Nothobranchius furzeri: one gene and its partner. The protein of the gene in region 1 binds, or shares a complex with, the protein of each later gene. Links are inferred from orthologs where the notes say so. Each region holds a gene or a part of one and is shown on either strand. Other genes may lie near its edges. The genes, in order: ksr1a and map2k1.

Region 1 (4,254 bases):
CAGCAGAGCTTCTGTTACATCGGTGGTGCTCCGCTCAGGGTAATGACAGTGCACTGTGCCTCACACGAGGAGGTGAAAGGTAGTGATTATTCACTGTGGCATTGCTAGCCTCCTCCCTCGGGCCACTTTTTGCTAAAACCAGTGCAGGAGAAACTGGATTACTCCTCAACTCGGATTCATTTACGGTATTCTGACAGATCTTTTGCTGTTGTGACGCCCAGACCTAGAACCCCCTGAGCATGAGATCAGTGGACTCAGCGGTCTCCTTTAAAAAGCAGCTGAAAACTCATCTGTTCAGGCTGGCTTTGGTGGGACCTCCTGCTCATTCTTCCTCACTAGCTTTTTCTTCATGCTGCTGTTCTGTTTTGCTCGAGATCCCGTGATTACCTGTTTTGCATTCATTCTTTTCTTTCTTTACATTTTTAATCTAAAATGTTCACCTTCCCCTTTTTTATTAAAATATTTTCAAATATTTTTTGTATTTTTTGTTTTTGTGAAGCGCCTTGTGGTTTTAAAATTGCTTCTTCTTTCTACTACTAAATTATGTTATTTAGTTGCATTTTTCTTTATTTGTGCATAATAAATACTCACCTTTTCCAGGAAACGCACTGAACAAAACATAAAAAGCTTTGTGCTGTTAAAACATTGCCGAAAGTGAGTCTGCATGTATATTTTTAACACCAGACGTCATCAGGTAAATGCCAACACACCTTTGATTTTACTGGCCTAATGAGTCACAATGGCTTGGGACAGGCTCTACTGAACCAAAACAGACTTTTGCAAACAAAATAAATAAATACATAAATAAATCACCCCCAGTTTAAAAATAATAAAAACACAAACAAAAACATTCTGTAGAACACTTTGTGTTTATTCCTCGGGCTATGAAACATCCAACTTTTCTTTTTAATATTTAAAAGTTTTCTCCATTTTGACCTAAATTTGAATTTTTCCACCTTCCTTTTTTCTGCAGCAGCTCCAATAATGCCTCAACCGGCCCCTAGCAGGTCATAAAAATGGAACGCAGCCATCATCACTAATGTTTTTGCCTCTATAGAAAAATAACCTGCACAGTTCGGTTGTTGAGTTGATGGGTGGGTGGAGGACGGGAGGTGTAGTGCGAAGAGCCCCCTTTTTGTGGCCAGTGGGACTTTATTTCCCAGAATGCACCGCGCAACATGACGTTCCCAACAGCTGACAGACGGCGAAGCCTCTGCCTGAGCTGTCGGTGGACGGGAAATACACAACCCGACTCTTAACGGACACCGGAGACCTTTTAGCTGCCTGCTAACACAGTATTTCTAGAAACTCTTTCAGTTTGCCCTCGCCAGTAGTTTTTGGTTTTGTTTTAAAAGGTCGCGCGCCTGGGACTGTCAGCTAACTTCTTCCGCAATTAATAGGTCGCTGCGTCGATGGACTTATGTTTTATTTGAGCTCAGCAGTTTGACTCCAGCCCTTCCAGCCGAGCCCAAATGCTGAGGAATGGATAGCGTGTCTGCTAAAGGTGGGAAGATGGTCGAGAGTGATGAGCAGCCGGAGCGGAGGGACGGCGGCGGCGGAGCGATGGCCGCGCTCCAGCAATGCGAACTCATCCAGAATATGATTGATATCTCCATCTCCAGTTTACAGGGGCTACGGACCAAATGCGCCGCATCCAACGACCTCACACAGCAAGAAATACGCACTTTAGAGGTAACGAGCGCTCCGGGGCTGTCTGGTTGGTTAAAATGCGGAGTCACGGAGCCCCATGTCCGCCTGAATTTGAGCAGAATTACGGGGCTGCTGCAAGCGAGGCTCCCGGTGCAGAGCCCGGTGCGCCGCTGACGCTCTGCGATGCATTCACGACCCAAAATGATCCAATTAGCTTTATGTCAGGGGTTCTGATCAAATACGGATACATTTGTTAAATCATGATATTTGCGTGACCTTCTGCGTTATTTGTCTGGAGCAGCATCCCCCCTCTCCCCCCCGTGCCTGGCCTAATGGCACACATTCAATAATCTGATCTGTTACTGTATTCAGCAGCGTCGGGCTGGATTTGTAAATCCAGGCCCTAGAATATAAAAACCACACACGCTCCATGTGATTTGCAGGCATGGTCGATGTTCTCATGCATGCGGATGCACAGTCACTGTCATTTCACAGGAAGAATCCACGTTTTCACCCCCAGAAACCATCCATTTCCAGGATATTCTCCAACCACGTCACGCCTGGTGACTCTGCACATTGGTTCCACTTTAAAAATGTTTTAGACCTGGTCAACCTCAGATTCTTTTTGCCTTCATAGAATCAAATTGAAAACACTTTTATTTTCGTTGAATGTTAATGATTTTAATTATAATGACTTTTACAGATATTTATAGTATATTGGCTAGTTAATATCAATTCTACATGATTCCACTTAGGAGATTTTTGCACCGAAATGCCTCTAAAACAGATTGATGAAGTGTATAAATGACCCATGTTAAAACTGTTTTATATAAGAGATCTAAGAAAATGTTGATGCATTGTGATACTGTGAAGTTTCATAGGGATGCGCGATATATCTGCATCAATATTGGTATTGGCCGATGTTGGTCATTTAAAAAAATATCTGTATCAGTCTGATATGTGAAACTGGGCCGATATCAACGAATGATTCTTTTTCCATCTTCATTCCGTCTGTGTGTCTGAGGGTGAGAGAAATAAGGCAAGGCATTCAAAAATTCAGCTTGCACAATTTTCAGTTTATGCAAAATCTGCTGATTTCAGAAGCATAAATGTCAGCGTGTCATATATATATATATATGTATGATGTATGCTGATATATATATATATATGTATATATATATATATATATATATATATATATATATATATATATATCAGCCCAAAATTTCATATCGGTGCTTTCCTGTTATTTTTATATATATATCAATCACTGAAAGCAGCATATCGATATTTTTTATTAGAATTTACACGCAAACATGTACTGTATTTCTTTATTTGGTGCAATTCTAACTCTGACTGCTAGGTGGCAGCAGTTTTTCCTGCCTTCATCCTAGGGCGGGGCAATATGGCCTAAAGTAAATATCACGATACATTGAGGATTTCACCTTGATTACGATTAATGGACGATAACTACATGTATGCGCAGAAACAAAAGTTGTCCGGGTGTCACATGCATTACGTGACTCAAGGTGGTGCAGCGACGTTGCCAACCTACACACATCTTTTCATTGTTTTACTATCAATTTTATTGACATGGGAAACATTTTCTTGATAAGAGTTAGACATTTTGATTAGGGCTGCCACAAACGACTATTTTATTAGTCGAGTAATTGCCAGTTTTGTTGCTGATTAGTCGACTAATCGTGTGTCATGCATTCTGTCACACGCCCACAGATACACACCTTTTCGATGGTCGTCTCATATTTCCTTTCTGTCATTGTGATGAAATGTACTCGGCCTGGTTAATTATTTTGTATAGTATTCTGGGTTGAACTTCTTGATCATATCTTTAAAACCTTGATCTCCGACCATGAACGGGGTCTCGTGTCTATTACCAGCATGTTTAAAATGGCCTTGGTCAGGACGTTGGCTTGTTGCAGTGTGCACGTGTTTGGCCTTGTAAGAAACTTGTCCGTTGTAGAAGAAGAGCACTTAGCACTGTAACGTAGCGGTTAGCGTTTGTAACGTTAAAGCAAATACGTGACATAGATACGTGTTCTAAACATATAATCGCCATCACTACTATTGTTGCTACACCTATGATGCTAGCAGCTAACAAGAGGTAAACTTAGAGGCGACTCTTTGTTCTCCGCCGTCACGTGCTTCCTTTTAAGATGCTCGTGCATCGTCGATGTGCTCCTGTGAAACAAGAGTTTTACCTTACAGAGTTTGCACTCTACTTCTCAGTTGTTTTCATAAAATGCTCACAAACCATTGAGCTCCGTTGCCGACTCGCCATGATGCGAGTAAGTGATTCTGATTTGAATGCTGAGCTGCAGTGGCACTACTGCGCATGTGCCTCGACTCACGTAAGCAGCGGCTGACACGGGTGGCGGCTAGCGCACATGTGCGTTGAGCAGAGAGGCAGGAAGCAAATGCCGAACGTGCCGCAGCAGGTGAGATTTAAAAAATGCTCATACAATAAACAACGCGTCGACTATTAAATTAATCGTCGTCATGACGCGTCGACTAATCGTGGCAGCCTTAATTTTGATAACGATACATTTTCGATTTAATACCCAGCCCAACTTCATCCCAATGAAA
Region 2 (4,323 bases), on another chromosome or scaffold:
ATCCTTGTCCTTTTTCTACTTCATTTCACCCTCCAATTTTTGGTAGCACAAAGGTTTGTAAAATGACTTGTTTTAATGTGTCAAAATGTCTTTGGGTGTGGATCCATTCGGAAAATTCATAATTTTTCTTGTCAAAATTTGGCATACGAACTGCTAAAGAAACTGCTAACCTGCTCCAGTGTTCTAAACTTTACAGCAGCTTTAAAAAAGCTGCAACACACGTTGGTCTTGGCTGTGTTTAGCCTAGCCGTTAGCTCATCCATCCAGAAGATCATAAATACAATCCCTTTGAATGACGCTCATTCAAGGCACTTGCTACATTTGAGTAGTAAAATGTATCAGTTTTTTACAAGAAACACTTTTCAAAATAAAAAAAACTATGCCTCAAAGCTTTAGAAGGCTAAGACTGCTCTTTTGTAGGATAAAGAACCAGTTTATCAAACTTTTGTCAACAGATTTATCACAGGGCACAACAGTGGAGTTTAAACAGAGAAAAGATTCCAAATCTCTGAATCATCATTGTTGCCTCGTCTGCCCCTTGTCCCATTGCAGCCTGCCCTAGAGCAGCAGGAGGAATGTGAACGCCTCAACAAATATTATGTCACCATCATCAGTTTCTGTTGCACAATAGATTTAATAGTTAGTTAACTAGATTGGTTTTATTTAAATCCAGCCTTGCTGAAATCGTCAAACAGATGTCTGATTTGCATCTATTCTGAATTATACCTCTCAGAACTGTCACGTTTTTATTTCTATCTAATGCAGTTTGATTTTAGCTTATTGCATTTTTAAATATTCACAGCAGAGTCCACAGATGGCCTCCACATGTGTGATCTAATGATGGAACAATGAAATATTGTGCCTCAACAACACTTTACAGAAGCAGTTCTCACTTTGGCTGATGTTATGCAATTCTCCTCTCAGCTGATCCAGTAAGAATGACTGTGCTTGTCTCCACAGAACAAAACTAGACTTTAGCACAATGTCACAACAAGTTTATATCTCTGTTACATTGTTTTAGCCCCCTAGAAAGTGGTGGAAGAAAGCTGCTGCACCAATTAATGAACAAATGATTATTTAGCATTCTGCTTTGCTGCACAGTGAGCATGAAGCTACTTATAAAGGAGGTTTATTGCACTTTGATCCAATCACGCAACAAAATTAACCCTTTGATGCATGAATTATGAAATCTTCAACCATGATTTTTTAAACAATTTTTTTCATTCGTCTTTAGGTGTGAATGAAACAAATTTCAACAAATATTTTTTGTAAAATTTTATAATTTACAAATAATTTATTACATGTCCACTTCAGTGGGCAGCATGCATTCTGAGCATGAAATATGTTGGCTTGGCTTACTGAAGTCCAAACGGAGGGGCTCAAATGCAATAAAGTCTTCAACAGTTGTGCTTAATAGCAAAAACAAATAAATAACAATTTTGAGTACCTGTCCACTGTAGTGACCATTATGCATCAAAGGGTTAAAATGAAGTTATGACAAAAACAAACATTTAATAAATTATTGATAATATCTGGAAATGTCAGATTAACTGCAGGTTCTGAAACAACTGAATCTGTACATTTTCAGTTAAATTAAGGAATTAAGAATTCTGGATTATCACCTGCAGATATCTGAAAATTCAACCTTTATTATGTATTAACTTAAGATTGCTGATAAAGTTAAGCAAATATTGAGTTTTTTAAAAACATGTGTAGCAATGTTAAAAATTGATTTGAATCTAATATTAAGAACAAATAATAAATATATTATTAGTGACAATAATAATCTCTATCTATCTATCTATCTATCTATCTATCTATCTATCTATCTATCTATCTATCTATCTATCTATCTATCTATCTATCTATCTATATATATATATATATATATATAATCAGACTATTCAACAGATGGAGCAAAAATCACCAAAGTTTAGTTAGAAAAATCAATAATTTCTTCATTTAGGTAAATATAATATTACTATTTATCTAAGGATGTATCTATAGGGAGCTTAAGTCACTTCCGCATCATGGGTCCCCGGAAGAACGAAAAAATGAATGCAAGTCAACGGGGCTAAAAACGCTATTTTCTAATCCGCTTTGTCTTACACCCTGGATCACACATATGTTGTACTGCAATTTAAATGAAAACTAATGGTGGGTGTTTTGACCATGCCAGTCACGTACTTAGAGATTTATTAGCTTGTAAATGCATGACTACAAACTAGAAATCGGTACGTCGCATATGTGACGTCACCACATTATCTCCTCTCCCAAAATAGCTGCTACTAACTACATGACCAGATTTATGATGGTTCTTTCTTCCTGTGGGAAGTTTGATGAATTTACAGCCATGTTCCTTCAGTTTTGTCAGTGTCTGGTTCGATGACGTCACTTTCATGAATCGCATTTGTAGTCCTGGACTTCTTTTCACACAAAAACTAAAATATCGTTTCCCTCTGTTCGAAAATAAACACGTCCTTGGTATCAAAACGCGTCTTTAAAATTCACGGACATCATATGTGAAAGCCATGGCTAAAAACAAGCGGAATTAAAAAATAGCGTTTTAAGCCCCATTGATTTGCATTCATTTTTTCGTTCCTCCGGGGACCCATGGTGTGGAAGTGACGGCTCCCTATAATCAGCAATGTTTATAATCGGTCCACACACACACACACACACACACACACACACACACACACACACACACACACACACACACACACACACACACACACACACACACACACACACACACACACCACACACACACACACACACCTGGTGCAGTCTCATAACTGACGCACAGACACACACCCATCCGTTCTCCTGAATCTAACGCAGATGATGCAGATTTTGGATGAGAACCTAAGCATCACTCACTCAGAGGCTCCGGTTCCGTTGACAGCGTTCCCATCAGGAATCGGGTTCAGCTGGATCGGTTCTGGTTTCCTCCTTTTCTGCATGTTGTTGAGCAGGAGAGGCAGCAGTAGAGAGAAGGAGCTGTGGAGTCACAATCCGTGGCTAGAAGAACCAGAGCTGTCATGAACTGAAGCTGCTGATGTGCTGAGCGGATGGACGTGACTGAGTAGAAACAGCACGACAATATTTACGCAGGTAAAAAAAAAAAAAATTACACAGGTCTTCCGGACAGCGTGGATAGACGTGGTGCAGGGCGCCCTCTGCTGGTGGTAGCTGAGTTCACCACGGAGATGAGAACGTCCAAGAGGACAGACCTGGACATTCATTTCTGATAAACCTCCGCCTTGTAGAGTCAGCTCCACATACTGTCAGTAAATCCAGTGTAAAGAGCCCCGTAGAGCTATTTATCCTTTAATTGTTATTCAGATTTTTAAAATGAGTTATTTGCTTTCTTTATATTTTTGGATGCCTTGCAAAGTTTAGTGGTAACAATTATTTCATTTTTGTTTGTTTTATCATTAGAAGTCAGGTCAGCCAGGAAGAACTCTGGGCCTTCTTTCTATAAATGATATTGGACCAGCATCATGCGCTGGTGTGCACCTATTTTTATTTTTACCAGCGCAGGAGAAACAGCAGGAAACCAAACAAAGATGGATAATTATTGCTTCTCAAATCAGACAAACAAATGAAACACTCAAGTTTTTGGGACATTGGACTTCTTTTGTCTGCATACAAAATAGCACCACAATGCAGCAGTGGCTTAAAGATTTTATGAATGAATGATAGTTTTGTTATAAGCACAGTGTCACCTCTCCAGAATATAAGTGGTGAAAACAAGTCATTCATTTGGTTGTCCTACTTTTATTTCAAAGTAAAAACAAAAGAAGCTTTAAACGCACCATTCATGTTAAAAAACATGCTGACAGAGGTTTTTATATTTGACACATGAAAGGATGAAAAATATTGCTTAAGAGAGCATTGGTGAACCCAGAGTTGTGTTCTTTCTGTATTCCATTCCTGTTGTAGGTATTTCACCACACACCACCACATCTGGTTCAGTTGACTGTTTGTTTATTGATCTTTCAACATTCTGTATATAATCGTCACAGTTTTAATCATAGAGAAAGACTCCAAATGTTAAAGAGCAAGAAAAGATTTGAAACTATGAAAATGACAATGCCATCAAAGCTAAACCAACAAATGGCTAAATACAGTTTATCATAGCCATTTAAATCTCAAACCATATCGATTTAATCATTCCATAATTCATGGAGGGCACCATATGACTGTGCTGTACACGTTCATTGTTGCCTTGGGTCGGGACTAAAGGCCAACCAGTATTGTTTTTTTGATTGCCAAAACCGATGCCGATACGTTGAGGTCACGATCAGCCGATGGCCC

Evidence for each region.
Region 2: the proteins of ksr1a (region 1) and map2k1 are in contact, whole or in part, in a crystal structure (PDB 9AXH), measured with the Homo sapiens proteins. The link is inferred for Nothobranchius furzeri from reciprocal best matches to the Homo sapiens genes KSR1 and MAP2K1. Residues at the interface, in XP_011523731.1 of Homo sapiens: Asn767, Gln768, Leu769, Lys770, Leu771, Ser772, His773, Leu776, Val784, Arg785, Met787, Thr788, Pro789, Asn823, Gln824, Ala825, Ala826, Glu827, Ala828, Ser829, Ile830, Trp831, Gln832, Gly834, Ser835; in NP_002746.1 of Homo sapiens: Asp217, Ala220, Asn221, Ser222, Phe223, Val224, Gly225, Thr226, Arg227, Ser228, Met230, Arg234, Leu235, Gln236, Gly237, Met308, Ala309, Ile310, Phe311, Leu314, Asp315, Val318, Asn319.

What each region holds. Positions count from the first base shown.
Region 1 is NC_091750.1:49,826,536-49,830,789, reverse strand, and holds the start of ksr1a (kinase suppressor of Ras 1), read left to right. Parts: upstream 1-1,270; 5' UTR 1,271-1,482; coding exon 1,483-1,692; intron 1,693-4,254.
Region 2 is NC_091744.1:66,095,691-66,100,013, forward strand, and holds the start of map2k1 (dual specificity mitogen-activated protein kinase kinase 1), read right to left. Parts: upstream 3,118-4,323; 5' UTR 2,967-3,117; coding exon 2,884-2,966; intron 1-2,883. UniProt on the Homo sapiens protein: Dual specificity protein kinase which acts as an essential component of the MAP kinase signal transduction pathway.